Caenorhabditis elegans: one gene and its partner. The protein of the gene in region 1 purifies or fractionates together with the protein of each later gene. This does not show direct contact. Each region holds a gene or a part of one and is shown on either strand. Other genes may lie near its edges. The genes, in order: lat-2 and K07H8.8.

What was found.
Region 2: the proteins of lat-2 (region 1) and K07H8.8 fractionate together in Caenorhabditis elegans (co-fractionation; one large-scale study listed by BioGRID). This does not show direct contact.

Annotation. Positions count from the first base shown.
Region 1 is NC_003280.10:4,353,055-4,368,811, reverse strand, and holds lat-2 (Latrophilin-like protein LAT-2), read right to left. Parts: upstream 9,748-15,757; 5' UTR 9,731-9,747; coding exon 9,506-9,730; intron 9,048-9,505; coding exon 8,936-9,047; intron 8,891-8,935; coding exon 8,735-8,890; intron 8,317-8,734; coding exon 8,033-8,316; intron 7,979-8,032; coding exon 7,896-7,978; intron 7,672-7,895; coding exon 7,559-7,671; intron 7,513-7,558; coding exon 7,388-7,512; intron 7,328-7,387; coding exon 7,218-7,327; intron 7,173-7,217; coding exon 6,975-7,172; intron 6,041-6,974; coding exon 5,982-6,040; intron 5,586-5,981; coding exon 5,360-5,585; intron 4,984-5,359; coding exon 4,658-4,983; intron 4,569-4,657; coding exon 4,481-4,568; intron 4,110-4,480; coding exon 3,669-4,109; intron 3,168-3,668; coding exon 3,090-3,167; intron 2,635-3,089; coding exon 2,411-2,634; intron 2,098-2,410; coding exon 1,854-2,097; intron 1,808-1,853; coding exon 883-1,807; 3' UTR 531-882; downstream 1-530. Other genes in the region: try-9 (Peptidase S1 domain-containing protein), read right to left, coding at 17-322; H20J04.1 (uncharacterized protein), read right to left, coding at 9,997-10,153, 10,202-12,443, 12,962-13,087, 13,135-13,141; H20J04.7 (Serpentine Receptor, class Z), read left to right, coding at 13,495-13,704, 13,976-14,380, 14,431-14,601, 15,364-15,591; H20J04.9 (Methyltransferase domain-containing protein), read right to left, coding at 15,741-15,757. UniProt on the Caenorhabditis elegans protein: May have a role in pharyngeal pumping during feeding.
Region 2 is NC_003282.8:8,260,734-8,276,490, reverse strand, and holds K07H8.8 (sulfotransferase family protein), read left to right. Parts: upstream 1-8,078; 5' UTR 8,079-8,142; coding exon 8,143-8,194; intron 8,195-8,389; coding exon 8,390-8,580; intron 8,581-8,621; coding exon 8,622-8,764; intron 8,765-8,852; coding exon 8,853-8,984; intron 8,985-9,036; coding exon 9,037-9,177; intron 9,178-9,389; coding exon 9,390-9,547; intron 9,548-9,599; coding exon 9,600-9,739; 3' UTR 9,740-9,847; downstream 9,848-15,757. Other genes in the region: K07H8.12 (uncharacterized protein), read left to right, coding at 1-62, 581-678; K07H8.11 (F-box associated domain-containing protein), read left to right, coding at 1,173-1,286, 1,848-1,948, 2,225-2,702, 3,050-3,265; K07H8.5 (uncharacterized protein), read right to left, coding at 4,019-4,217, 4,340-4,692, 4,739-4,873, 5,090-5,321, 5,368-5,420; vit-6 (Vitellogenin-6), read right to left, coding at 10,124-10,306, 10,350-10,619, 10,668-14,615, 14,673-15,132, 15,224-15,318.

The DNA of each region.
Region 1 (15,757 bases):
AGGGTAATCTACTCACCGACTTTATCGCCAGTGGCTTGAACATATCCTTCCTATGCAATCCCTTACACATCTCTGGAACCGCACATGTCACATTAACGAATGCCACGAAATTCTTATAGTCTCTCACGAAATACGCTTCTCTGAGATTTCCAGTATCACAGTCAGGCAGAGGATCCTCACTGATTCCGATCAAATGAGCAGCTGTTACAATATGCCATGGAGAGACTAATGTTCCGGTTCCATGCTGAACAAATTCATTTTCCGAAAACTTATTTCCGCCGTTTCTAAAAGATCCCGAGCCATCAGAAATTCGCTTCTTCATAGCCAATGAGACCGCCCATGGGGCTTCACCAATTTTCACTTCTTTACCGTACAATGCCTTGTATTCCTCAGAAGTTCTGCGATGAGAGGACAAAGTGGTAAATCCTGGCACATATCTTCCACAGTTTGCTCGTAGAATCCGGTTTTCTCGTGGGCTCAGCCTTTTTGCAAAGGTTTGGTAGATCAAAATTGAAAAGAAGAAGAAACATGAAAATGTAAACCAATTCATTGAAGAAATAACAATAATTTATGAAAACAGTGACCGGTAGAAGTGAGTGAGTGAGAGATGGGGAGAAGCACCATATACACCCCCAGAATTTTATGGGGGGGGGGGGATGTTTTATAGATCGTTTTGCGTCGGCAATAAGTAATTAAATTTACAGTACTCAAGAAAACAAAGTCATTAAAGTCATGGGTCTCTGAACTCGGCATGCCAAGGGTTTCCAGAGAAAATGTGAGCCCAGAAAATGTCGGGCACTCTGAAAATTTTTTTTCGGGGGTTTGTGAAAGTGGGTAGGCACAAGGAAGGCAGGCGAGGAGCTTTAGAATAACTTCGGTAACTTAAAATCGATAATCCTTGGATCCAGATTCCGAAACCGGTGACTCTGGAGGTGCTATTACTTTCGCCTTTGTCCTGTGCTGAGATCCCCGTTCACTTTGTTTCGCGCCCAGTGGGAACTTGATTCTCTTTACTGGCGCTTTCTTCTCCACCGCCGTTACTTCGATGATCTGGGATCCTCTAGGATCCGAAGAGGCATGGCTCATTCGCTCGATTTCGTTGTTGCTCACTATCATTGGATTCAGGTCAACTGTGACTCGTCGACGGAGTTCTGGAATTTCGTCTTCTTCCTTGATTTCTGCGCTATTGAGATTTGAGTTCTCCAGGGTCCCATTCAAATTGTTAAAATTGCTCTCCGGAATCGAAACCGAGTCCTGATTTGGCAACCTGCTCAACCAATCCGTTGTCTTTGTAATCGGAGTCAACTGTTTCTCTTTGTCATCTGTACTTGCTGTACTTGGATAACTATGTCCGTTTACTTTTATCATATTCAGAATTCTCTGCCGACTGCTCAAGAAGCTTCTGCTGTTGTATGCAGCACTGCTTGTCTCCGGGAGGCAGCAAATTCCAGTTCTCAGCCATCTTACAATGGATGCTCGAACCTTCTCGTTGAGCACAACGTGGAGCACGAAAATGAAAATTCCTTGGGTGCAATTCAAAATCGTGAAGATCCAGGCAAAAGCGGTTCCAGTACCACCTTTTACTGCTGTGAGGAATCCGAAGATCCATGTGATTCCAAGAAGACACAGCAACGTGGCAGACCCTTTCAACCATCCGATGATTCTTCCCCACTTTGTACGATCTCTACTTTGAACTGATAAAACGACTTTTAGGGCGATGAGTAGGAATATGATATTGGCAGCGATGATGACAATAATTGGAGCCACAAATGCCCAGATCGTCGGGGTGGAGGTGTCGATCCAGCAGCTGGAAAATTCTCCGATTTTTCCGATTTTTCCAACAAAAAACTCACTAAGAATCAGTTCCATAATCTTCCCATTTAATTCCAGCAGATATTGCCACGACAACAGCCGGAGTTCCATAACAAAATAGATAATAAAGGAAGATTCTTGTACGATTTGGTTCGAATACTTGAATAAGCATCATGTACAATTGATATCCTTCTAGAAGCATCCAACAGAACGAGGAGAGGAAGAAATAGTGCAGGAGAATTGCAACAACTCCGCAGCCGGTACGATTTCCAGTTCTGTCCATGCCTGGAATTTGATATTATTTTTCTTGTTAGGTTTTAAAGGTTCCAACATTTTTTTTGAATTTAGGACCCCCTGACAACTTCACTCAGCTTTTTTATAACTATAATTTGAACATCTTTAAAAAAAGTTTGAAAGGCTTTTAGAATCTTTTTATAAAAACACAAAAGTCCTCGAAAAAATTTAAAAATCGTCTGGAACAACAATTTCAGATTAAAATTTGAATTTCAATTAGAATTTAAAAAACAATTTGTGAATACCTTATATGTAGATATTTTGAAGTGAATAAAAAATTCCCATAAGGAATAAAAATACTTACCTATCACAAAAACCAACTCGGCAATCAGAAGACACAGGCAAAGATTTCGATGAATCGAATTTCGAACATTTTGAAGATTTCGGAAGAATGTGAATACACATACACTCAATGCAAGACACACTATTGAAATTGCACATCCAATTGTTGAAACGACGTCAAGAGCCGATGCAAGTCCACCGGAGAGTCGTCCAACTTGACCGGATATGTCCATGAGAATTGCAAAACTGGAAGATGGAATGTGGTCGTATTAAAGTAGTGAGAAATGAGAAAATATAGCACAAACTCTCCGAGCAAAATAATAAAAAAAAATCTGAAGATTTTAGAACAAATAAAAAATCAATAATAATTGTCTTTAAGAATTTTCAAAGCTTGAAATTTATTTTTTAGTTTTTATGTTTTTCATTCTAAAGGTTTTATAATAAAAATAAGCAAATTAAACTGTAGATTTATAATTTTGTAAAACGAAAAATTCTAGAAATTTTTTTTCAGATTTTTTTCATGATATTATTCTTCGACGAATTATTTGTTTTTTTTCTCTTAAACAATCACAATAATATTTGCCTCTTCCCCTTTTTCCTTTAATTTCCAAATTTTTCTCTGTTTCTGTCCTCTACCACGTCACTGTTTATTTGAAAATGGAAGAATGATGAATTCGGCGAACAACAAGTATCACACTAACCTTGTCAAATGAGTACATGAACATTGTGAAGAGTTTGAAGATGTCGCGATAAGTGTGCACCCTAGTGTTGACCATTTGCTGGAAAATGGAAAGATGATAAGAGTTTGAAAATTTTAATTTTTGTTTGAATATTTTTTAATTTTTTAAAAAGAATCAAGCATTTTGAACAGGATATCTAGAAGCATTTTTTGATTTTTTCCCTCCTAAAATGTCAAATTTCCCGCTATTTTTGTAAATAATTTATTTTTTCAAATTTTGAAATGTGAATTTCATAGCAATTTTCTTTTTGAAAAATCAAAAATAAATGTTTAACTTTACGCTAAATAAAATATTTGAAAAAACTCAAACTTCGCATCGAAACCATCTGGAAAAAATAAAAATTAAAGCTCGAAATTTCTGCAAAATAATTTCGAAAACTTAGCCTAGGCTTAGGCTTAGGCTTAGGCTTAGTCTTAGGCTTAGTCTTAGGCTTAACTAGGCTCAGGCTCAGTCTTAGACATAAGCATAGACTTAGGCTTAAGCTTACTAAGTTTTCGAAAACCAAAATTTGTAATTTTTAATACATTCCCTATCCCGTACCTTTCCATCAAATCCCAATAAACACATCTCGGATTAGAAACTCCTTTTGTCGTGAGATGTTGAAATGTGAAAGTAACTGGATGATCAACTGGAAGTGTAACACTTTGAGTTGCATTCTGAATTGATGCCCCAATCACTTGACTATTGATTAATGTGTGATCATTGTTATTATTCAAGAGTTGTCCGAATCCGGCAAACGCGTAATATCCCAGTTTAACAGGATTCCTATTTAAATTGGGAGTAGAAGCCATTCCAACTGGAGTGTCATCTTGGAATGAGGATAGAATACTTGGACCACCACCTGCAACTGGAGTTGGAGAAGCAAGGGAGCTTAGAAGTGAAGCTGATGGTAGAGTTATTGTTGGAGATAATTTAAGGGATGGGAACATGATGGTGGTATTGGTTTCTGGTTGTGGAGCAGGTGGAGCTGCAGCCATTACTCTGAATTAATATTATTAGATTAACCTAATTTGGCTGATCAATTGCCATAATTACATAGTTCAACAATTTTTAGGTTTTACCAAATTTAAATTTAAACATTTCTATTAAATTTTCATTCATTTCTATTAAATAACATTCTATTAAATTTAGCAACTTTAGAGTGTATTTTTAGAGCTTTTAACATTTTAATGAAGAGCAAAATCCCCAAAGTTGCCATCTCCAAAAGGTTTCAAAAAGTATCAAATTTCACAGGTTCATCGGTTCATCGGTCGCCCGCGTCACAAATTTAACATTTATTGAACTTTTTTGTTGCTTTTTTTTTCAAATTTTTGTAAATAAAATGAAAAAAAAATAAAAATTCAAATAAATACCTCATCATTCCCATGTCATCTTGAACATTTGGGGAAGCAGCTGCACCAAAAGTTTGAACTTCCGGCTCAGAACGCTCGACTTCCATGGCTAAAAAATTAGATAATTAATAAACAATATTGCCTTAAAAGCAATACAACGCCTGCCTACCTTCCATGACATTTGGCAAATTTACTCACCCCAATTGATATATTGCAAATTCAACTTCTGATCTGTCATATAATCTCCAAGTAACAACACAGATTGCTCAAGAACACTCATTAATTTCGACGCGTGCTGTATTCTTATCGTACTCGAAAGTTGATCCCAAACTGTTGCAGCAACTGGAGAAAGAAGTTGATCACCGGATCCACCGAGGTTCTCTGTGAAGTTTCTTGCTTTATTCTCACGGAGATTACGGTCATTTAGGACACTGAATTGGTTTCGAGCAAGGCTGAGCATGTCATTGCTCAGGCGGACGGTTCCTGTGATGTCACCTCCGAAAAGTGTACGCTCGATTGTTGATCTGGAAATTTGGATTATAGAAAACACTTTATTTTTACTTTACAATTAGTTCCAATTTTCTGATATTTCGGGTTTAAAAAAAGTATTTTTGGAGATTCTCTGATTCTAAAAAATTGAATATAAAAATTCGGATTTCCGATTACGGAATTGGTTTTGAACTTTATTTGTTTTTGGCTACTGGATTAAAAAACAAATTTCAGATTTCCTCATTAAAATGGTATTTAGATTTTTTGAGAATTTCATTTTTCCTATTGTTTTTTTTTATTTTCCATTCTTAGTAGTATAAAAATTCGAATTTCTGATATTTAAAAAATCATTTTCGAATTTTGATGTTTTTTTTTAATTTTCCATTTTTAAAGGTTTCCACAAAAACTCACTTCAACTGCCTATTAACCGTAGAACTAATATCCTCAACAGGCTGATTATCTTTGATTGCAGTTTCCATTTCAGCCACCCATCGATGTGTACAGTTAGTTGTATCCGGTGTCTCCCATTTTGCAGTCTGACAGTTACAGTAACGGGTTACTGTACCTTCGACATTCTGAGGATCCGGGCAAGGTTGTTCGTGTAGCATACATGCACGGGTTTGTTCGTATGTGATTCCTGGAAAATTTGTGAGAATTTAAAGAATTGTTTTGTTGAATTTTTCAATGTTTAGGGTTTCTCAAGAAAACTCAAGAATTTTTTAATAATCGCTTTTAAAAGATTTCGAAAAGTAAAAATGTTGAATGTTTTCCAAATTTTCAATTTTTAATCAGAACATTTTTCAAACAAAAAAAATCTAAAAATTAAATAAAATTTCAGAAAAATACTTAACCAATTTCTGAAAAATTTTAAATTGAACAGCTGATTCTAAGAGGTAGAGCTTTTTTGAAAATTTTCGAAAACTTTGGAAAAATCGCAAAAAATGTTTTGGATATTTTCTTTAAAAAAAAGCAAAATGTTTTAGTGTTTTTAAATATCAAAATTTTAGAAAAATCAATTTTTTAAAATTCTCACCATCTTTTTTCTCCTTCTTGCAATATCTTGGCTTGTTGATTGAATCCGGAACACTTGGACTGAAAATTCCAAATTATTTTTGTGGAAATCAAAGTTGTAGATAACTTCAAAACTAGTTAAGATATCAAAAAGTTGTCAACTGGCAAAATATTTCTAAGGAAATTTTAAATATTTTATCAGTTAAAAACATTTTGATATCTTTCATAACCTCTGAGATGCAGGCCTTAAAAATTGGGAATTTGCAATTTTAATTAATTTTTTTTCAGAAAATAAGAAAATTTTGCAGATATTTTGGCTGCAACAAATGTACCGGTTTCTAATTTATTGTAATATTTAATGTCACACTGATTACATACCTAGATGGTTCCGATGTACAAATTACAAGACTATCAACTAATACTATCCCAAGGAATATTACAGTAACCACTGATGCTCGGCTCATTCCGAAAACATGTGTGAGAAACGGAATGAATGCGCAACCGAGACGGACTAAGTATTAGTGACTCACTGGCAAATCAAGCTTACGGCACAGAGATAGTATATGATTTGAGGAGACGCAGAGATTAGAGAGATACACACAAAACCGGTTATAACCTCATTGCGAGAGAAAAGGAAGAGAGAGAGAGGGGCGCCGATCTTTGTTTGGCAAATATTATTTAATTTTCGATTGGTTTTTTTTGATTGACCCCCGAGTGCGCTCGCAATTCTGCAAATGGCGTTTATTCAGGTGAGGTCAGGGAAAACCGGAGTTTTGGCAATTGGGCACAAATTGCTAGGTCAAAAGCCATTGAAACGGAGTCAGTGGCTCAATAGCAAGTGTATCCAAAAAGAAATGTGACTGGAGCAAGGGTGCAAGGCAATTTTCTCACAGGCCAGTTGTCGCTTTTTTTAAATTAAAAATATTTTTTCTTAACCCGGCTCCGAGCTCCATCCAACTTGCACATTTCTAACTCAATTTCTTCCAAAATACATTGAATGTTAAACAAAACTCACGGCTGAACCCCGGTGTAGACCTCTCTCCGAGCCATAGTTTGAGATACAGGATCAACTGGAGCCGATTGTGTAGGACGTGCTGACACAGATGCAGTTGACTGGGGAACCGTGGAGCAGATGACGTTGGCTGTTGAAGATGGAGATGATGGGCACTGGGAGTAGGATGTTGAGGAGCCGGTGACCATTAGGAGCTGGCAGCTGGAATAGGTTAGTTGGTAGATAATTTGATACGTGGAACCTTACTTATTGGGAGTTCCAATCCAAAAATTCACGGTTTTCTTCGTCTCTGCATTCACTTTTTGTACAATTTGTTGGAGCAATGCGTCTGGAGGTGAGGTTATTATAGATCCACCCTGGAAATATCATAACCAATTTAATTTTCTAGTAAATTCTTAAAGGTTAGTTTTTCTTACACTCTGTGAGCAATATGTCTGAGCATCTTCCATCGTTCTCTGCTTCTTCTCGTTCGTCTCAATTGTCATACTGTAGCACCTGCTATCGAATTGAATGAGCCCGGATAAGCAAGATGGTTGTTGAGCTGGAAATACTCCAATTTTAGTACATAGTTGCTCAGTGGTACCCACCAGTTTCACATCTCATCCGTGTCTCCAAATATTGTTCCTGGGGAACTGGGCATGGTGTATTTGAAAATGTGCTCGTTAAATTTCGGATTTCACAAGATTGGAGGCCTTGGCATCTGGAAAATATTTACTGCTCTAGGTATTTTTACTGCTCTACTAGAAAGCGCGAAAGGATTACGGTAGTGCCATGATGAGGATACTTTTTTTGGGTTTTATGCCAGAAAATATATAATTTTTGCGATTTTGAAACAATTTTCTGAAGGTTTGCATTCAAATTTTCAGTTTTAAAACTATAATACTGCTCGGCGAGCTCTTACCAATCAAAAATCAATTCACTTACGCATTGATAACTGTTTGAAGTGAGTTGACATTTGAGCAAGTTTGTTCTCTCGATTGGCTCGCCTGGTTACACATTGAACTTTCCTAAACTCTTTTCCTTTTTTTCCAAAAAAAAAACTCAATCTTTTGATCTCTAACCTGTGCACCAAATGACGCAAAATCTACAGTAATCGTTTGATCGTTCGGACATGAAAATTGGAAATCATTGCTTCCACATGTTCTTTGGGTAGATGCTTGTTGATTCGTGGTCGATTGAGTCTCACAAGTCTGACCTCCATATCCATTTGGGCATGAGCATTGAGCAACGTATTTGGCTTGGATCTGCGTTGGAGCAACTTTACATACTGTGTATTTTAGGATGGTGCACAGGGCGGTGGTCCATTCACGGTAGAAGGAGTCGGATTGGAGAGCTACGCAGACGTCTAAAATATTAAAAATTTAGGTAACTGGTGCAATTTGTAATCTTTCTGTCGAAAAACGGTATCATTTCTGTGGCGGATTTCAAACTTTTGTCTCACAGTTCCAGATTTTTGTCGGAAGTTATCAACTTTCTGGCGCACTGTCTATATTTAGCTATTTCTGTTGCAGCAGATGGTAAACTTTCTGACGAAAGTTGCGGACTCTGCAGCAAACTTTCAACTTTTTGGAGCACGTCAGGAATTTTCTCTCGTTAAGCACCAACCTTCTGACGCGCATTGCTAATTTTCTGTTGCGTTTTGTCGACTTTCTGGCATACTTTCATTAAAAAGTTTTGGAATCAGAAAATATTGATTTTTTAAATTCACTAGATTTAACTTAATTTGAAAAGTTTTCAAAATTAGACCATAACAATATTCTCACCATTATAATTCACATAAATGTTCGGCTCCTGTGGCGCCCAAAACGTGTCAGTTACCAAAAAAGAGCCGGGATAATAAACCCAAGAGGCTCGCGTCACATTGTTAACTCCACGCACAGCAGTCCAAATTCCATCTGGTGGGGGTCGCATATCGGCTGCTAAAAATTAAAGCTCGTTTAAAAATAAAGCTTAAAGCTTATTACGTGGATTAGATGGAATCATGGCTTGTAGGTAACCAGCAAAGAACGCCTGATCTTCAGCCGATTCGACGAGGGGAAGTGTGGCACTGTTCATGTTGTTGCAGTAGAGGGCTGCCTGGAAATTTTTTAATTTTCAGGTTTTTTTTAGAGCTTTCTGAATTGTCTGGGACTCTTACAACTAACAACCTCTAAAACCTCTATTTCCAAGGGTTTTCCAACAAAAAAAATCGATGAAAAATTTCAGAGTTTTTGCTCTTCTTTGTGAGCTTATATCTCGGTGCTCTTAAGTTTTATCAATAAAAATCAACCGGCAAAATACGCACAAAATATTTATGTATATTTTGGCAGTTAAAATTTTTTGATAAAACTAAAGCCAAAGATATAAACCGTTTAAGTGGAGCAATCCAAAGGATGCATGTCTAAAAGGTAAGCCCTACGTGTAGTCACAAAAACGTCTGCCGGCCTGCCTTACGCTTACGACCGATGTAAACAAAAAACCTACTGCAAAAAAAATAGGCTGTAGGCAAACAGGCAGGAAGGCAGGCATGCCATAAAATGTGCCGCCCAACTCACATCATTCCAATTCCTCAAAGTCGTATCGAAAACGTAGCAGGATCCCATATAATAAATCGAATTCTTGGGACAAGTCGCCGTTGCGGGGACACTACTTGCCACAAGGCATGTCCCTCCATTTTGACAAATGTTTGATTGGCAAAGGTTCACATTTTGGTTGGAAACCTGGCACTGAGCCAAACTAATAATGAATATGAGAAATGGATATTTTAGCTGTTTTGCCATACAAAATCAAAGTTTTGAAAAAAAAGAAATGGAACGATTTCGAGAGCGGAGGTGGTAGGAAGGAAAAGGCGTTGGCCGTGGTGCCAAAGTGTTTGATGAGCACTTGAGGAATACATACGGCCGATGCTTTTTCTATGTCCCCCATCTCGTGCATTAGGATGACATGTTGATTACGGAATGGCATTGAGGTAAGATAATCTCGTGATCAATGCAAGTTCTAGAATTTTCAAAAATCTATTTATTATCGGAACGCTAGAAACAAGTAATCAATAATAATCTTCATCTTCTTCTTTTTCAGCTTGTGCATCTCTTCTGAGTTTGATTTTGATTAGAGCCAGGACAACGATATTAATTAAACTGAGAATACCAACGAGCATCGACAACTGAATCCAATGATTGTAACGTTCCCAGAAGGATTTTTGTCTGAAAAAAATGTATATTTGAGGAATTACAAGTTTAAAATTAACTCACGAAACATGATCAATAGCCACAAGTGATCTATGAAGTCTCAACAATGCACGAAGATTCCAATAAGTACCAATAATTTCAGTCTGATGAGCAGTAAAGTCCAGATCAAAAGTGGATTCGATTGCTTCGGAGAATTCAGAGATTTCAGTGGATGCAGTTGCCATATTTGTTCCATTCAAGATATCAACAAATTTTGTCCAATCTTCAACTTTATATTCTGGATTTGGAAGGTTCACAAGGTTATCGACAAGGAATCTTGCATGCAATAAATCCGTATTTGACACGTCTGTATATCTTTTTTTGAGTTTCAAAGCATGAGCAAGAAGATCCTTGATTCGATGAGTTGTTGTATTCAGAACATCCAATTTCTTCAAAAATTCATTCCGTGGGACATCTTCGGAACTCGTGTTCACCACTTTCAGACAAAGAGCATTTCCAGTTTCTGCTAGTTTATCGAATACTTCTGATTCCTTGATAAGTCGGGACATGTCACGGAATAAGATGGATCCACTGATAAGTTTCTCTCGGAGACGAAAATTCTTTCGGAATCTGATAACTTCTTTGTATAAAGATTGAGTCTTCAAATCACTGAGTCCGTCCAACCTCTTCTGAACATTGTTCACACCAGTTGTCTTGATCTTTTGAAGTTCATTCAGGTCGACAGTGGTTTCTCCAGTAGCAAACATCGTTTTATGTAGATTGACGAACCCGATTCCACCTTTCACTTTTGATAGATCCTGTTGACTGGTGTTAATTTTATCTTTGAATGGACCGAATGTTTCATCTATGTACATCTCTAAGTTTTCCGTTGTCTCCTGCCACATTGGGATCTTTGAAATGAGAGCCTTGAGTTCCATGGCTTCTTGGTTGAATTTTTTGAGCTTCTCGACAACTTTTGGGAAATGTTTGTCAGCATTGTCGAAATTGTCATTTTTAATCACAAAATAACAATTAGATTTATCCATACTTCTCACGCGTGAATGGTAGCCTGAAACGGATGAAGATGCAGCATTTGTGAACTCGTCGCTTCCTCTGTATTCTTTCACAGCGGATTTCAGAGAACTCAAATTGCCTAAGGCGTTCAGAATATCAATGTATCCATTCTCAAAATTTGTCACTTGTGGATTGCTGGTGTTGATCAACTTTGCATATTCCACAATTCTTCGAACCGTTGACAATGAATTGGTAAAATCTTGTGAAGAACTTCCTGATTCAATCAGCAACTTCAATAGAGAATCCAGGTTTTTGATTGTGTCCGCTATTTTTGAATAATCATAAGTTTCCAGAGCAGTCCAGAATGTTTTTATGACAGAATCGGAGTCAAATAGTGGTTGCAGAGTTTTCAAAAGAGCATCCAATGGAGAATTGTCTTCAGTCAGTGTCTCTTTCAAAAAGGTTTCATTGATATCCCTCTTCAGATCTTCGATTTTCAGAAGTTCATCCGGAAATGCTCCAGTCCACTTTCTTAAATCGTTCAGAGTATTCTTGTCAGCATTTGTTAGTTTTTCGATGAACTTGATTGCATGTGATGACTCCAAGTACGAAAGAACATTCGAGAAGAATGGTGATATCGCCACTCCTGTACCGACTTGAGTCGCGGACACACGTGTTAGATCGACCTTTTTATAAACTTCCAGTTTCTTGTTGACAGATTTAAATACCGTCGTAAAATCCTCCTGCTCGAGATTTTTGAAGTTCTCCCAAGGTTCAAGAATTATATTCATGAGGGTTGAAAAATTTTGGAAGGCTGTTGCGGCTGCATTCTTATCAACATTTGGCGAAATAGTACAATTCATATATGTGGGATACAAATCGACATTGTTTTTCAATGTTGTCACTGCGCCCGAATATTTTCCAAGTTGTTCCAATTCATCTTGTTTCGTTTCAGGGAATTCGTTCAATTCTATAATTTTCTTATAGGACGGCGCTCTCACGTCTTCATTGTCTGTCGATATAGGTGGCAAACTATTGAACTCCTTGTACATCTCTTCTAAGTGTTCAATTCCATTTGTCAAATTGGAAAAATCCATTTCAGAAGTTTTCATTTTAGATAGGTCTCCAATGAGTCTTTTGATCTTTGATTGATCAATTTTCAATAATCCATTGATACTTGACTCCTCAATATTGAAAAATCCAGCAAGTACACTGATCATAGATGGTTCGAGAAGATCCGCCAAAATAGTGATTCCAATAGTTAGACGAGCATGAGCAGCGAGCATCTCAGAGATTCGATCGAGGGAAGAATCTGAAATAGAAGTTAATGAGTCTAGAGGTAAAAGATTTGAAGATTCAAGGGAACCTCTACCCAAGGCGCATTTGTCGAACTAGAGTTGGTGGTAATTCTAGGCAACTATTCTACACAATCTCAACAAAAAACCAGAGGCAATGATTTCATTTTAAACATTTTTAGAAGGGAGCTTGAATCTCTGAAACTAGGCAACAACATGTGTAACGCTATATTTTTTCAAAAAAAATAAGCTTTTGGCGTTTTTCAGAGATCAACCAGAAAAGAAAAAAACTCTCATGAAATATGATTAACTTTAATTTACATGGAAATGTACTCGTGAACTCTCAATAAGCTGCCACGTAGTTTCAAAAGAAAATCAATAATCCACGTCACAGAATTCAAAACAAATTCCACGTGGCAGCTACTCTTCTAGAAATTGACACCGTCTAAGATGTCAGAGCCTCTAACTCAGAAAACCATGGGTAATTGGCCAAAAACATGTCCGCTTCCTTAAGATTTACGAGCCATTCACTGACCTTCTGGAGCACTTCTAGTAACAATGGCTCCTGTTGCATTTCCACTGACAAATTGTGCAGTTAAACTCGTTGGAATATTATCATGACAATTAACAATTAGAAATCCAATGAATAGTAATTTCCAATCTGAAATCGAGCAGAATTGGAATATGCAGAAAAAGGTGTAAACTCACATTTCATTTTGATACTTTTTTACTGAAAGAACAGCAAAATTGAATATCTGCAGCAGAAAGTTGAAAATTTCTGGAATAAATGTTTGATGATTATTTGGACACACGTAGTTGTTTTTTGTTCCCTCCTTCTTTTTCAAGAAGTTCACGTGAAGTTATTTTCATTGTTTTTTGTTGAGAGTTTATTTGTGTAAAATTAAAAAAAATCACGTAATTTGTGAACTTTATCTTGAATTTTTGTTTAAAAGTTTACATATAAAGTTGTATAATTATAGCTAACACTAAATAACACAATCTTTTCAACGGTTTTCTTGATCAAAACTTCAGCTTTAGTTATCATTTTTACTTCCCAACTTTCCAAAAATGAATTCCTCACCCAGTTTTACTTCTCCACTTGTACTCCCTACACCCCCTTGTGTAAAAATTATATGTGCTCCGGAGCCGTTTCAAGACCCATCACAACATAATTCTTATTCGATTAAAATTATATTACTATTGGTTTTGGAAGTTTTGAACGTTATGGTTCAGAGTTTTATGGTTATATTTATTTTGAAGAAGAATTGCTTGAAGTTGGTAAGTCTGAATCGCCTTGGGTTCCGCTTAGGCTCAGGCTTTGGATTTCACTTAGGCTTCTGCTTAGGCTTAGGCTTAGGCGTAGTCTTAGGCTTCGGATTAGGCTTAGGCTTCGGCTTAGGCTTAGGCATAGGCTCAGGCTTAAACTTAGGCATAGGCTCAGGCTTAGGTTTAGGCATAGGCTTAGGCTTGGTGGAGAGAAAGAGAAAAAATAAATCCCAAAAAAGTTCCTGAAAGTTGACCGAACATTGTCAAGTAATTGTCATTTCAGACCCCATTTTTTGCATTCACAGTTGTCCGATCATCGATGATTATATTCCGAGTATCATTCCTAATCTTCGCAATAATTATGCTGGAAATGACATCTGAAAGTTCCCTTTTCCTAGAAGATATCCTTCAATTTTCTCTTCTCGTGGATTACTGTAGTCGATTTTTCTGCCTGACAATTATATTTCAAATGTCGTTAAACCAATTGTTCTGCTTTTTTTCTAAAACTTGGAATCATCGAATATTTGGCAACGTGCAAATTGTTATTCTTATTCTATTCAGTGCATCTTTTTCTATTACTATTGGAATACTTGGTTTGAGAAATTTCAAAATAAAACGAATATTTATCTTGTGGTTGGGATTCTTCGAAAACCCCTGGAACGGACACGGCGATATTTACAGTGATAAGGTAAATAAGGGTTACTTTAGTTTTAATTTTAACTTTTAAAAACATTTTAGAGTATCCATCGCATGTTTCATTTGTTTCCAGTAGCATCAATAATTTGTTATATGATTTTGTACTATTTGAAGAGACAGAAAAATAAAAAGGTTCTTATAAATACCACAAATATGTCTAGAGAGGAGAAAAGTGTTCATATAGAAATACTTATCACATCTATTTTATATTTAGTGAGTTTTTTGGGTTAGGGAATATGGGTACTTTAGGGGTACTGTAAAGGTATTTTAGGATTGCTGCAAATTAAGAAATCTTGAGCTGGGGTACCGTATGGGTACTGTAGCAGTACTTTAGATATACTGTAGGGGTACTGTAGACGTACTGTAGGCGTACTCTAGGAGTACTGTAGGGAAACTGGGGGGGGGGTACTGTAGAAGTACTGTAGGGGTATTGTAAGAGTTATATGGGGATACTGTAGAACTACTGTAGGATTACCGTAGTTTTGGAAAAAAATACTTTTTTTAAAGGGATATTGGTTTAGGGGTAACGTAGGATACTGTAAAGTCAAAATATAAAAACTGTCACATCAAATTTGACTACAGCGACGCGCGCGAAATATTCGCTCTCGATTCCTCATGCCGTAAAAACAGCTGGAACCACGGGTGATGACAGAAACGGGAGACGAGAAAATGCGAAGATACAGCGCAAAAACTGACGTTTCTAGAATCGAGAGCGAATATTTCGCGTGCGTCGCTGTAGTCAAATTTTATGTGACAGTTTTTATATTTTGATAATAGGAATACTGTAGTTTTTGGAAAAACATGTTGTCTTCTGAAGGGATATTGAGTTGGGATACTGTAGTAGTACTGTAGAGGTCCAGTAGAGGTCCTGTAGGAGTACTGTAAGAATACTATAGAGTACGGTAGGGGTACTGTAGGAGTACAGTAGTAGTACTATAGTTGTGTACTGTAGGAATATAATTTAACATCTTTCAGATTATAATAATTCCATACGACATCCTTATGAAGACAAAATATTTCGAACAAGATTCTGAGGAAGGCGATGCTCGTTTCCATTTCGCATCAACATTTCAAATTTTCAATCATTTCCCGGAAATATCCATGCCATTACTGAATCTGTACTTTAGTGGAATATTCAGAAATAAAATTGCACCGGGACCTGAGCATGGGAAATCTAGTGTTGAAACTGGCGCGAAAATTTGAATTTTTTTAAACTTTTTTCCAATTTTTCACACTAATAAAGAATGTTACTCTTCCAAACAAATTTTCAAAAGTACCTATTTTTATAGCGAAAAATAACAACAAAAAATCATTAAAAACCTATTTTAAAAAAACATTTTTAACCGAAAAAATTAAAGATCTTCAAAAT
Region 2 (15,757 bases), on another chromosome or scaffold:
AGTAAAAGATGATAACTTTGCAATCGAACGCAATGAATTCTCATTTTCTAATAATTGTGCATGTAAGTAAACTTTTCATGACTGGGTACCTAGATTTACGAGCTTCTAATTTGTTGGAATTTCACCTAACCATTTGAAATGACAAGATGTTCATGTGTACTTTTCCAGTTGGCACATGTGTAGACATGAGATAGGCAGACACGTTTGTACCTAGAGGCAAGCCTAACGTATACTTTTTGTTCACAAGCCTTAACATTACAATTTTTTAATATTTTGAAATTCATCACGTCATACTTTTTCTACAAATTATCCATTCTCCCATGTTCTTCATACGTAAAACTGCGAGATTCGCGTTAGAATTCGTAACTTGTCTCTGTTTTCTGCTCAGCTCGGTGTTTGGTTTTTTTGTTGTTGAAATAACCCAACAATTATATTTAGCATTTTGAAAATAATAACTTCTGAGATAAATACTCTAAAAAGAGAGAATCTAAAGGTTTTACAAAATTCCATAATTTTAAAGACAAAGTATTTTTGCAGGCTTAATGGGTTTTCATATTACTTACAAACGAATAATTTTCAGATGACTCTCCTCTTCGAAACAGCCGAAAGCAACCAACATCATTCATTTCATCGTTTGATAATTCGAACAACTTCTCTAAAAATCTGGGAAGAAGATAATCAATTTTCTTCCATTTTTACTATGTTTTTGTGATTTCATTACATTGTGATCCCATTCAACATTTCCTATTTTTTCCATTTCTACTTCCAATTGTTTCCTATATTCGCATCGTATTGGTAATGGATTTTGATATATTCTATTATTTTCTTTTGAATGGGAAAATATAAACTAAGTTTTCCATGGAGGTAAGAAAATGTCAACCTTCGTGCCTACAAAACTGGCGACGCCAGTTTGTCAGGTACCTAGAAAGGAAGAATTTAATAGAGTACATCAAAATCTTCTAAAACATTTCCCTTTTTTCAAATCATATGTACATGCCACTTCTCAAGTATCCTTCATTTGTTTCAAAAGTCCCAAATTGATATCTGAAAATTTAAAAATAAAAATTTTAAAGTAGAATATCATATTTCATTTCTAGTGCTCTAGAGGTCATGAGCATGCTTCAAAAAAACAGGAATAAAAGGAAACGAACATTTGCAACAAAGAAAGGAAAATGTTGGTGGTCATATTTTGTTTCTTGAATATTCTATTTTCGGTGACATCTTTTGATCTTGAGGACGACGATGATTCATGGAAAGAACTGACTTTCTCAATAAGAACAGATGGTGTAAGTGTGAAAAACCATTTCCTTCACCTAGATCCTTAGAACTTTTATGCTCACACTAAATGAAAAAAATCGGAACTAGTTTTTCTTTCCGGTGTTGACGGCGTGCTTACCTACAACCTTTTTATTAAATTTATGCGTAAACCTATTCTGAATTCCGACACAACTAATAAGCATAGTTTAGATCTTTCCAGCTTCTTACCCAGTTTTTGCCAAAAGAGTTTTTGCCTAACTTGGGTTTCGGCAGTAGGTGCACATTTAGGCTCATGAAGTTATTTTAGTATTCGACCAAAAACCTTCTGTTTTCAGAAAGTTGATTTCATCCTCAAAAAGCGGTTTAATAATCTTACAATCGTTCGTGCCATTTTCACGTTTTTCCATCAAACGTAGATGACAATCTACATATTTATTTGCGAGGCTACTTTCCTAACACTTCGCGCTAATTTTGTTTTTGATCTGTTGAATTCTTAAACATACTACAAACGGAATCGCTAATCAGCAAGATTTCTTAAAATATTTGTATTTAATAAATAAGTGTTTATTCTTACTTGTTATATTATTCAGAATGGTACTATCGAAAGTGCTCATATCCAATGGACTGATCGTTTTGATGACTCATTTGCCTATGCCTACACGAACGAAAATCGGACAGATTTGAAGTTTTTGTAAGAATGTTTTTGTAAGAATTTGAGCAACGACGTGTTAGTCATAAATGAGCAGAGATTGTATTATCCAAACACCTACAATTTTCCTAGACTCGAAAAGAAAATTGTTCTGATTGTGAGAAGTATGAGTCAAAAATTATAATTCTAGGCGTTGTTGGTAAATTGTGGAAATTCTAGATATTTTCTAATGGCATGATATTTGCATGAAGTCAAAAACACCAACTGCTACTGCAGTGGTCGCCAAAATTTCAAGTTGGAAAATTAATATAATTTCAGATATGACAAGCCACGCCCTGAACTATTCGTCAGCAAAAACTTCATCGTGGACGCATTCACTCAATTCATGGATTTTTTCCAGAATCGAACAAAAATTTCCAGAATTAGTGTGACGCTTCCATCATTGACAGATGATCTCAAGAAGATCACAAAACGAAAAAATTCCGTTAAAACAAAACCAGCAATTGATAATTTTCGTTTCAACTCGTATGATTCATTGTTGTACAACGAACTTTTGAGGTTATCTACCGGAATCCCGAAACAGTTGAAAATTTCATTTTTCTACTATCCTGAGCGGACTGAGAAAGTTCTGGACGGTACAATTTTGAATCATCCCAAGGTTCGAGAAATCACTGAACTGGATCTTCGTACTGTTGAAAGTGATATTAATGATGCTCAACTTCATCAATTGGAATGTGAATCTATTTCTCTGAGATCTTCCACGGTAACCAATGCAGGAATTAACCGAATTTTAAAGGTAAACATGTATCTAGACTCTGTCAAATAAAAATGTTGTATTTTGATTTCAATCACATGATTTTTCTTCACCACTTCATGAATTGAATCTTTTGAACTATTTGCGAATATGAATGAAAAAATGTAATTAGAGATGTTATCATGTAGGCTACCATTTTTCTTTATTTCCCAATTTCTCTAATGTACTGTGATATTTCTGAATTTCTGCAAATTGTGTCATTCTTTTTGATGTAATATCAATAAATCATCAAAATTTCTGTGACTTTTTAAAAAGTATCACGATAACATCTTCATGCGATCGTTGCCCCTGTTAAAACATGCAATCATACGAACTTTTTCTATTTTAAGGAATGGCAAGATGGATTACGACCGACTCGTTATTTGAAACTAGTGAATGATGATTTACAAAAGGCTGAAATTATGGATGGAGTCTCGAAACGAACATTGCAACGTGGCGTTTGGGAAATTAAGAATCGATTCAACGCCTCGGCTACTGTAACCGTAAGCCGTGTGCCGACTAATCTATATGATTCAAAGCCGACGTTTGAGTTTGCGGTTTCTTAAAAAATCATGGTAAAAAATAAATATCAATGTTATATTTTTTTATTTATCTATTGAACCATTAAATGCATATAGCTTGTCTAATGAAATAAACTTGATAAGTAGCCTGTCATAACACATGTTCCGAGAGCACCGATAGCACGCCGCTTGTTTTGCTCTGAGCATCCGTTGGAGCTCAAAAATCTCAATTTTGAAACTTTGTTGCTTAAACCCCATATTAAATTATTTCAGAACATTTTACTTAAAAAAAGACATGTCTCATTCGAAATACCGGTGGCACCTTCACCTAAACTATCGTAGTTGCACACATACATATGGTCAAATGTGATCGATTGGTAAAGAGCGAACACACGAGAAGAGAACTCATTACTCGGCTGTGATGATGGTCATTTGAGGCTGTCATTTGACGGTGGGAACCGCGGGGGTCTCTCTTCGGCAGTCTTACGGGAAAATAGAAGGCGGAAAATGCGCGGAAAATGAGTGAGAAGGAGTTTTTCAATGAAAATGAAAATGAGAAGGTGGCGGGCTCCAGTGCAGCTTTGATTGCCTTCGGAAAGAAAGAAGGGCATGGTGTAAGAAGATTAATAGAAGAGTTCATTAATTCTCTGTAAAATCGTCTGTGTAAAAAGTGAACCTATCGATTTCATCTCCAAATGAACTTGTTCATGATCATAGAATCCAAACTGTTATACTCAAGAGACAATCATCTAAAATACTTTTATAGGTATCAAAAAACACAAGTATTCAAAAGAGAGTTCACATTGCAATGGTGCTGGCACCTCCAGTTGTTGTAGATGATCCAGTAGTGCCACCAGTAGTTCCGGCTGTTGTTGCGCCTCCCGTGGTTCCACCAACGGTAATTGCTCCGGTTGTAGTGTTTCCGAATCCAACTCCAGTGATTCCACCAGTTGTTCCCGAAGCATCACAACCGTAACGTTTGTACATGCCGCGGTACCTAAATATTAAAACTGCATATCACCAAATAATTAATCTTTTTAGATAGTGAAACTAATAATTAGCCAAATGGAAAGGGTTGGCATGTTTTTTCTTCAGACTGAAAACATCTTAAAAACTCACCAGAATCCATACACTGTTCTTCTCAGAACGTAGAAAATTCCACCGATAATAACAGTCCCGAGAAGTGATCCAATAATGAAACCAACAAATAATCCCCATGCCCACCACTTTCCAGGAGTATATGTATTAGGATTTTCCTCCTCGTTGCTACCAGTTTGATAATCGGGATTATTAATGTAACGAACTGGCGGAACGGTTGTTGTTGGAATGTTTGGTTCGATCTTCGGTGGTGGTGGAGCGAGAAGCTTTTCTTTTCCCTCCCCAGTTTCGTCTCCGCTTTCTCCCTCCCCATCAATCTTATGCACTTTGCCAACATCCTTTTTACTGATGAAGGTTTTTCCGATTTCAATGTTCTGAAATAAATGTTTAAAGGGGTTTTTTTTTTTCAGAAATACAAACCTGAGAAATGATTCCTTTGTTTTCTTTCAAATCATCAGACTTTTCGAAGAAGAATGCCACTTTCGATGCTGCTGTTGCATCCCACCACTCAGAATCAGATACAACGACTTCACGGAACATGTTGGCCACATAAAACTGGAAAAAAATATTTAAGTTTGAAAGGTTAGATTTGCGAGAATCGCACAAAAATGCTGTATTCAGAGATATCTGTTTTTTTTTCAAAGATAAAAAAAATGTTTTACTTTCTGAAAATTTTGGCCAAAAATTACGATTGGACATTTCAGACAGGGCTGATTCAACACTCAATCCAGGATATTTCAAAAATGAATTACTCATGAACTTTGTACAAACCTCTCCTGGAAGTTTGCCATTAACTTTATCTCCATAACCAAATCCAACTTCGATTACATAGATTTCTGCATCCGCAATTGCCCGAGGCTTCAGTTCCATCATCGAAGCACGTCCACTCTTTGGCCAAATGACAAGTCCGTTACGTGGCATAATGTACAACTCGAACTTCTCTTTGCAAATTGGAGCACGCTTATCATCCAAAAAATGTTCAGGATCAATGCAAAGTTTGATTCTAAAAGTTAAAAATTCCAAGTTAATTTCAAAGCATCATATCATACCCTTGTGTTTTCCCTTTCAAGTAGAGAAGAGTCTTCCAACTTCCCGCCTTCATCGTCAACTTGACAATATAATACCTTAAGAATCAATCTATGCGCCTTCTTGATTATTAAATGCACAATTATTAACTGCCATACAACAGCTTTCACTTTCTCACAAAATCCACATGAAAACAAACACCAGCCACAGCCAAAACGCAAAACAATTATCGATCAGCTGGCACTTTTTTATTTTCATTTATCTCAGCTTGACGTTCTCGGTTTTCTCTACGTTTTCCACCGAACTGCAGATTTGAGTGACTGGAGGATTGCTGCGGCTCTTTCATTTTACCATGTTTATCCGTGGAGCGCATTTGAAGCCCAAAAACTTTCAAGCTCCTGTCCAACTTATACTCACCTATCATTTTGATCTCCGTGCAACTTGTTCACAGCTTGTACTCTTTTGGTCGAGAATCACAAGTTTGACTGATTGACGAATGATGTTCAATTCGCAAAAAGAAGAACTGATTCGTTTTAATTCTGAATTGGCAGATTAACTGATTGATAACAATCTTCTACGTGGCAAGATGGTTTAGTAATCCAATGAGGCTTCACGGATTAATTGAAAAAAAAAATACATGAAGAAATTAATTAAAGAAGTGAAAGGCTATATTTTAACTTCACAAAGTGACCACGTTTCTTCAATTTTTTAAATACAAAAATTTTTTTAAACAGGGATTTGTTTGATTTGTTTGACAATGAGAATGTTCCGCCTCACTCACTAGTCAGCTACTCTTTTTTACCATAGCTATTAGGTCTCCAAATAAGTTCCGGGTCAAAAATCATAACTTTGTTCGCTGCGTATCAATTTTTATGAAACTTTGGGAATTTATATTATCAACCATGGTCTTTCATTTGACAATAGTCACAAAATTTTTTGACCACCCCAAGTGGCCTAACTCGGAGCCAATTTTTTCAGGCATTTTTCTGATCTCGCTTTTTTTCAGTTTTCAATTGAGCTTTGTGTGCGATTTTGCTTTGTTTAGAATACATTATTAGAAAACAACAAAAGTTTGGAAAAAAATCCGCCCAAAAAAATTTTTTTTGGTTGGTCGTCAAAAAATGTTCAAAAAAATTTTTGTCGAAAATTCTAGATTTTTCCTACAAAAAAGATGTAACCAAGTGTAAACTATTTTTACACATATAAATCATTTGAGTTAAAAATTTGAATCTCAAGAAATATTCAAAAAACTAAAAAATTATCCGAAAAAATTGTATTTTCTACTATCATTTTAGTGTATCGAACTAAATTGATATGTTTTGTATGTCTAAAAATAGTTTACACTTGGTTACATCATTTTTGTAGGAAAAATCTAGAATTTTCGACAAAAATGTTTTTGAACATTTTTTGACGACCAACCAAAAAAAATTTTTTTTTCTAAACTTTTGTTGTTTTCTAATAATGTATTCTAAACAAAGCAAAATCCGCACACAAAGCTCAATTGAAAACTGAAAAGAAGCGAGATCAGAAAAATGCCTGAAAAAATTGGCTCCGAGTTAGGCCACTTGGGGTGGTCAAAAAATTTTGTGACTATTGTCAAATGAAAGAGCATGGTTGATAATATAAATTCCCAAAGTTTCATAAAAATTGATACGCAGCGAACAAAGTTATGATTTTTGACCCGGAACTTATTTGGAGACCTAATATTTTTTTTTCTCGAAAATTCGTTATTTTTGAAAATAAAAATTTGAAAAAATAAAGATTTGAATGATATCCCAAAATATGTCTTACAGGCTTACATTAAATATGATTTTTCCGTTATATTTTCTTCTAATAAGCCTTACAACTTTTATTTTTCTGACTGTCCCGTTGCAATAAAGCCAAGGGTATGAAAACATTCCCACTGATTTCCCCGAGGTTCGTTTTTTTCTTTTTTTTTCTACCATTACAGCTTATCTAAGAAATAAACCTAAGAAAATAAAAAGAAATAGTATTCGTATCTTAAAATAAGCAAATTAATCTTAAATTTCTCTCAATTTTCCGTCTGCTTCGTTCCGAGACTCGCTCTTTAAAAGTCGGCAATGTCACACAAAATAAATTGAGACTGATGTATCGGATGAAAACGAGTTTTCAGAAAATCGCGGAGGAAGGGAAAATGACTCAGGAAAAGCGCTGAAAGATTTTGGCAGGTAGTTAAAAGAACGAAAAACCTTGATGCGGTCAATGTTTTAAGTGGCATGTTCTTTTATGCCATTCGATGCTTGGTTGTTTGGTCTTAGTTAAACAGTTTATCCTGGACGAGTTATATGTTTCAGCTCTTTTCACATTTTTGTTGCAATTAACCAAACCTATTAAATACTTATGCCATCCTTTCATATAATTTTAAAATAAATTTTTCTGTCACTTTGCCGCTCCTTTACTACCAACATTAGTACAACCCTTTTTACACTAAACAATTCTTTCGGTTATGGTTTATCAAACTAAATACAAAGTATTCTGATCTGTTAGACAACCGGATAATCCAATAGTTCCCTTTTTGCTCAGAATATAATGTTTAAATATTTATGTATTTACTTTATTTGATTTTTTCGTTAGGGCTTCAACTGTGAATGAGAAAAATTACCTCATGCAGATTCTATTTACTCAAGAGCTTTTTTCTCGGTCAAATACATAAAACTCACCCGTTAATGGTGTTTTCCGATACCTATCAGATGACCTATGCCGAAGATCGGAAGCCTTTATTGCGTCTGGATAGTGGTGAAGGTGGCGACATTGATGACTTGGAACATTTCACGGAAATGTTGAATCCCTATTGCACAACTTCAAATAAATTTTATTACGGAAAAAAGGGTTTGTTAAATTTTATTTTGTTTGCTTATTTTTACTGTTTCTAACAATGATTTTACATTTAGCTGGTTTTTGAAATTAATAATCACACTATAAAGTTTCATATTTGAGATGTTTCTGGTGGTGTTTTTCGAAAGTCTTTTTCAGCTATAGCATTTAAAATGGGAAGTTACTTCTAAATGTTTTATTTATTTTCAGAAAGGTATATTCCGAAAGCGGTTTTGGTAGTAATGGGCATATTTTCAATATGTTTCAGTATTGATAAATATCAAATATTAATGAAAGAAATTGAATCGAAAGAATGTAATGATGTACTGGCAGAATGCAACAATATACCTTTTAATCAAACATTTGTTCCACCATTTTATGATTATCTTCAAGATTTTACAGTAAGCTCCGCTAGGCCACAGTTAAATCTAAGCCCTTTCAGATTTCTCCTCGTTATGATATATCTCTTTGTCTTATTCCAAAAGTTGTGTCTACAATCGGAACTGCCGCAATATGTTACATACAAGATCCGGAGGCTTTCACCAAAAACAACAGAACAATATCAACGGAAATGTATGGTGGAAGGTAAGTTTGAGCGGTGTTGGTTCTCAGCAGTTACAGCTGGTTCCCAACTAAAACTGAATGAATTGAATGAAAATTTAATCAATTGCAGATTTTGCGAAAACAATGAATTGAAATCTTTTAAAATGGTGCAACGCAGTTTGAATTCTAACTTTGATAATATAATTTTCACACGAAATCCCTATGATCGGTTCATTTCAGGATTTACCGAGAAGTGTGTAAAGTAAGTTTAGATTTAGAGGATAATATCAGGATCTGCAAAATATAAATTTTAGTAACACGGACACAAATATTTGTCACGGATGTGGAACCGACATCCGATGTTTCTTGCAGAAAGAATATCGACGTTTAATTAGAATGAGTATGCTATTTCCTGTTTACACTGGAGCAGACACACATTTTGCTCCTCAAACTTGGTGAGTTCTCAACTTCATTAAATTCTTCATGCCAGGATTTTAAGCTGTCTTTTGAATTCATAAGAGGCTACAAGAAGACAAAAGACATAATGTCTCGCTAAGATCAAGATAACAGTTTTTGTCTAGCCTATTGCCTAATTCATGTTTCCATTTCTCCTAGTCATGAGAATCTTCAAAAATTTAAACCAAAAGATCGTTCAACGGTTTCTCAGGTACTGCGATATGAAAAACAACATCAAGAACTCAACAGTAATACAATATTCGAGTACGGGGACAGAAAAAATAAAGATGATTGATAATTTATTGACCGTTTTCAAAAATAGAAATGTACCAGAAGAAAATCTGAACGAAGTCAGAGAAGAACTTTCAAGTAAGCTTTTTTTAATTGCATTCTTGATTTCATTCAATTTCAACACTTTCAGAAGGAAAAACCCAGCACTCAACATCTGGAACATCTCTACGACTTAAATATGAAAAGCTTATTGAAGAAGATGGAGCTATCAGGAGAGCTTTACAGAGAATTTATTACTATGATTTTTTATATCTTGGGTATTCAATGTAGACGGGTTAAACAAGTAACTATGATTGACAGAAATCGGACAATTTTCCCCGGTGTTGCATTTCAATTGTATTTCCGTATTCTGATTGTTTCAACATAAACTTTATGTTTCTAAATACTCGGCATTTTGCCATAGAGTTCCCTCGCACTTCTACAGAAAAATCTGAACTCTTTGTGAACTCTGACGACGTGCGAGAGGAGACTGTAGAAGTGAACTCTGTGGCAAAATGCCGAGTTGTTTGAATTGAACAGTTCAAATTGGAATATGTTTAAAGTAAATTTTCCACAAACAAAAAATTGTTGAAATTGTTTATTATTGAAATCTATAAAACAATTCAATTGACAAAGATAGTCCTACGATGTGTATGATTGTGAAGAAGAGGTAGTTCAATAGTCGAACTTGTCGCACTTCTGGTCGACGGCGACGCGAACGGTGCGCTCCTCCATTTGTGGTTGGTCACGAAGGTTGCGGAGCTTGTGCTCTGGCCATTGGGCGAGTGGCTCACGGCGGATCTCGCGCATTTGACGGCGAGCCCATGAGTTGGAGGATGGGAGGCAGTAGACGGAGGTCTGAAATGTTACAGAATAATTGATTGAAATGTATAACTACTACCACCTTTTGCTTCTTGGACTCCTGTGACTTTCCGTTTTGGCAGCGAAGAACTGGCTTCTGGGTGAAGCAGATCTCGTGTTGACGCTCGACAATAGCGACTTGCTCAGTTGGCTCATCGTCTTGCTCGCGGCGAGATTCCTCGTAGTTCATCTCTTGGTCCTTCTCCTCCTCTTGATTTTTCTCAATGCGTTGGAAGTTCTCCTCCTTCTCGAACATCTCACGCTCGTAGTTGCACTTGGAGTCCTTGTACAAGTAGCTCTTGGCGAACTTCTGAAAATTGAGATGATTATTGTTGTGTATCAAAATTAAGAAACTTACTGGAATGGTGTTCTCTTGGTTCTCAGCATCATAGAATTCGGTTTCCTTCTCGTTGTCGTAGTGGCCGCAAAGTCCGCATTGTTGGTTTCTGTAGAGAGCGGAAAGGTGAATACGGGCATTGACTCCATCGAATTGAACAGTGACATCATCAGAATCGAACTTGAGTGTGTTCTTGTTAAGCCAGATGATGTTGTATTGCTTCTTCTCAATCTCAGATTCTGGTTGGTACTCGATTTCTTCTCCGTTGACACGGCAGATGAGTCCTTCCTCAGTCTTGTACATTTCAATCTCGTTTTCTCCGTAGACAACCTTGACGTTCTTCCACTCCTTCTTCTCGTTGATCTTCTTCATAAGGACAACGAAACGGGGCTCGCTCTTCTCAGATCCACAATCCTTGGCGAGAACGGAGTAGCATGGGGTGAATTGGTTACGGTAGGCAACTTGGTCGAAGGTGTTGATCTTGGTGCTCTTGACAACACAGTTGGCTTGCTTGGAAGCGTGATGGGCGATCTTCTCCATGACTGGCTTCTGCTCGTAGCGGGAGTTTCTTGGCTGGTAGTGGATTTGGGCAGTTGGAAGTCTGAATGGAAGCTCGACACGCTCAAGAACGGTGGTCTCCATTGGGGTCTCGATAGTCATGTTGACAGTTAGACGTTGGCGTGGTTCAACATTGATTGTGGCACGGATCATGTTCTTGCGGCTTGGCTCCTCACGGGTCTCGATTCTGGAAGTCCATGGGTATTGGGTGCGAAGATAAGCTTGAACCATGTTCCAGTATCTGGCGAAGTATTGAGCTGGCTTTGGCTCGAACTCGTACTCAACAACAGTTTGGTATTGGTCAAGTCTAGATGCCTCGAGAAGGGTCTCGTGCTCTGGGGCTTGCTCAATTTGCTTGACGAACTTCTTTTGTTCTTGGGATTGTTGTCCGTTGATGTTGATGTGAATGGTGTTCTCTCCGTAGTTCATCTCTCCCATAACAACGAGTTGACGGTACTTTTGCTCCTTGAGCTCCTCAACAGTCCTTGGGGTTTGTGGGTAGACGTATTGGATTGTAGCCTTAAGCTCTTCTCCGCGGATTTGGGTCTTGCAGAAGTGGAAGTCATTGTTGCAGACAGCCTCAACCTCCATCTTGACAACCTCTGGCTTGATTTCGAACTTGGCGACGTGTTGGTAGACCTTCTCGTTTTGGAGCCATTCGAACTTCTTTGTGATCTGCTCACGGTGCTCTTCCTCATCGTATTCTGGCTCAGCCTCAAGATATCTTCTTCCGTTATGCTTCTTGTATACCTTCTCGTAGTTCTTCTCCATCTTGTAGTTGTTGTACAAGTTAAGCTCAAAAATAGCCTCGTATTGCTCAACATTTGGCTTGTAGTAGACCTCGACGTTGCTGTCAACTATCCATTGTGGGATTCTCACGCTGGTTGGGCGGTTGAGAGTTCCTTGAACACGGATTTGTGGGTATTCACGGTCAAGAGATTGGCTGAGTTGTTTGTGGGCTGGGAGCATGTAGGTCATCTCGATTGGTTCTGGGTATTGACGAGCATCTGGGGCGACAGTGCGGGTGAAGGTGACTGGACGAGATTGGATCATGGCGATTCTCTTCTCCTCGGATGGGGTGTTGTAGATAGCACGGATAACAACCTTGTCTTCCCAGTTCATTCTGATCTCAGTGTCAACTGGAGTATTAAGGACGGCTTGGTGAAGGAACTTGGTTCCGACCTCGGCGATTGGGCAGATAACTCTAAGAGAAAGGACGTGGGTGGAGGCTACACGTGGCCCAGCTTGAACACGAAGGCGAAGTCCGTCGAAGCTCTTTCCGTTCTTTGGCTCAAGCTCGAAAGTTACTTGTCCGCGGATGGAGGAGATGGTTGGCATCTTGGAGGTGAATTGAACTGGAAGTCCCATTGGAGTTGGAACTCTGCGGACGGTCTCGTAAAGGAAAGCAGCGTTGGAGGCAGAGAAGTGGATTCCTTGGGCAAGGACTCTCTCGATATCTCCGATCTCAAGTCTTCCTCCTTGGATCATGGAGCGGACAACCTCTGGGATTGAGTCAGCATCAATTGGAAGGAAGGCGTAGTCCATATCACGGTGTCTGATGTAGACAAAGGCATGTGGATCTTGCTCAGATGATTGACGACGGGTGATGCGAAGCTTCTCGAGAAGGTTGCTCAAGAATTCAGTTGGTTGGAAGGATCCGGAAGCTCTCTTTCCGCGAACAACGATTTGTTCAAGTCCTTTTTCTTGAACATTGGAGAGAAGTTTCTTGATGATCTTCTCCATATTCTTCTGGGTAAATCCGATTTGAGCGAAGTATTGGTTCCATTCTCCGGAGAGAACTCCTTCAATCGAAGCCATCATCTCGGTTGGGAGAACAGATTCGGTGGTGAAGAGGGAAGCAAAGTTAGCTTCGAATCCGGATTGGTGGCGTCTGGAGTAGGTGGACCATTTTCCATAGACAGACTCGAAGCGATCAATCTCTTGGGATGAGAATGGGATGTTGTTGAGAAGAGATTGAACACGGGAAGAGAATGTCTGCTCGCATGGAGACTCGTTGTTAGCATAAGAACGGAGAAGGGAGAGGGTGAAGGCACGAACTTGTTGGTTGCGCTCTTGTCTGAGTTGGTTTCCGATCTGGGAAAGGACGGACCATTCTGGTTGAGTGTAGATGATCTGATGGAGTGCAGACATGCGGATGTGTTGTGGTTGTTGACGGTTAAGGTAGACTGGCATAAGAACACGTTGAATCTTTGTTGGCATCTGGGTGCGAAGACGACGGAATGACTCGATGGCTTGTGTGCGGATGGTGGTTTCGTGTTGCTCGTTGAGAATGATCTTCTCGAGTGGGTAGACAGAGAGATCAAGTCCGGCATTAGCAAGGGTCTTCAAAGCAAGAACCTTCTCGTAGCGGGTGGATGCAGATTCGAATTGTTGGACGAGCTTGTCAACGATTCTTTGCTTAGCATCACGTGGGCACATCTTGACTCCATTCTTCTGGACGAAGACTCTTGGGGTTTGTCCGCACACTCCATTGACAATAGCTCCGTAGGTGAGCCAGCAGGATTGACGAAGAGCTGGGAAGCTTGAAGATACATCGGATTCGCAAAGGCGAGCGATATCTTCAGCAATAGCAAGAGATGGGTAGCGCATGTCGACGAGTGTCTTGATGGCAACGGAGGCTTTGAGTGGAGCAATGTTCTTGCGAGATTGAACCTTGTCAACGAATTGTTGAATGGTGACACGAGTTCCGGCGAGAGCAAGGGTGTTGAAGTAGATGGAGCGAAGTTGCTCAGCAATCTTCTCATCCTTGTGCTCAGCGACGTGGCGGTAGATTTGTTCGAGTTGCTCCTCGTTGCACTCACGGAGAACCTTGACGATTCTGGCAACAGTGTGTGCAGCCTCAAGCTCAGCCTCTCCTTGTTCGATTTGCTTGGCCATCAAAGAGAACATCTTTTTGATCATCTCGACCTTGTTCTCGGTCCATTGTGGGAGTTGTCTAAGGTACTTCTCCTCTCCAGTTTGAGCCCATTGTTGCTCAGCCCATTCGGATTCCTGGTTGTAGACAAGCTCGGAAGTCTTCTCATTGCGGACTTGCTTGATCTCGGTCTTCTTCTCTCCAGCATAGATAAGCTCCATGGTGTTCAAGGTGAAGGCAGAAACAAGTTGATGCTTCTCGGAGATTGGGGCAAAAAGGTGTTGGGAGCGAAGTTCAACGGAGTTGATGAGGAAGCTTGATGAAGTTCCAGTGATGTTGTAGTTGAGAACTGTGGAGCTCATCTTGTCTTGCTCAAGAGTTTGCTGGCAATCCTTGCACACTGGAGTCTGCACGTGATGGATGTATGGGCGGCGGGTACATTTGTCGAAGTTGATCGACTTAGCCCAACGTTGCTCATCCTCCTTCTTGATCTCTTCAACGGTGTAAAGGACCTCGCATTCTCCTTCGAGGGTGCGCTGAAATTCAATTATTCAAATTTCGAACTCAAATATATATGTATATTTAGAACTTACCTCAACATTGGTGAAAGAGAAAGTTGGTTCTTGGTTGTCACTCTTCTCAGCTCCTTCGTACTTCTCCTTCTTGAGGATGTTGACTTGAAGCATGTTGATGACGGCTCTCTTGATGTTCTCTGACCATGGCTGATCGTTCTCAGCAAAACGGATCTCTCTGACAAGTCCGTGTTCGTAATCAAACTCAACTGGCATGCTCAAAAGCTCTTGGTGCTCACGGTTCATGCGCTCAACCTCCTCGAAACGCTCGAATGGGAGCATCTTCATGGAGTTGGACTCTTGCTGAGAGGTTGCGAAGCGGGTCTTCTGGAGTTGCATGCGGACGGTGTTTCCATCAGTCCATTGGAGGGTAACTTGAGATTGAAGACGTGAGATTCCTTGTGGGGTAGATGGGACTGGAAGTCCGGCAGAGAGCTGGCCATTGAAGAGGTAGCGGTACTCGCGTCCGGCGCGGAATGAGCTGAAAAGGAGTACAATGTGATTGATATTTTTGAAAATAATTGAAATATAAAAAGGGTCAACTCTCAAAAATGATTTAAAAAGTAACTTACGATTCTTGAATATTTCTCTCGATGGAGTTGTAACGATCCAAATGGGTCGAGGCGAGTGCCGCTCCCAAGAGAGCAAGCGCTATGAAGAACTTCATAGTGATTGATCGATCTAAGTGACCGAGTGAAGAATACATGAAGCTCGTGTCCTTTTATACATACTCTTAAACTTCGACAAGATGTCCATCGCAGCATGTTGCAATTCTGAAAGTAGCTTAGAGACCATGCGGATTGAAGAGACTCAGCATGCTTATCAGTCATTGAGACAGGTGTCAATTGTTGAGTGCGGGAGAGTGTCAGTAATGTTAGGTACCATTTTGGGATTGGCGGGTGGCTCCGATGAGGGGAGGTGGATGGGGAGATGGTTTCTGGTCAAAGTATGACAATTTTCTTTGACAGTTTAGTTACATTTTCTACTTTGAAATTGCAACACTTTCAACATTTTGCATCTGACTTTTGGTTAAATTGGGGGAATAAAATGATGCCATTATAGTCATGAAATGGCAAAAATAACAATGACCTTAGCTTTGCGAAGAT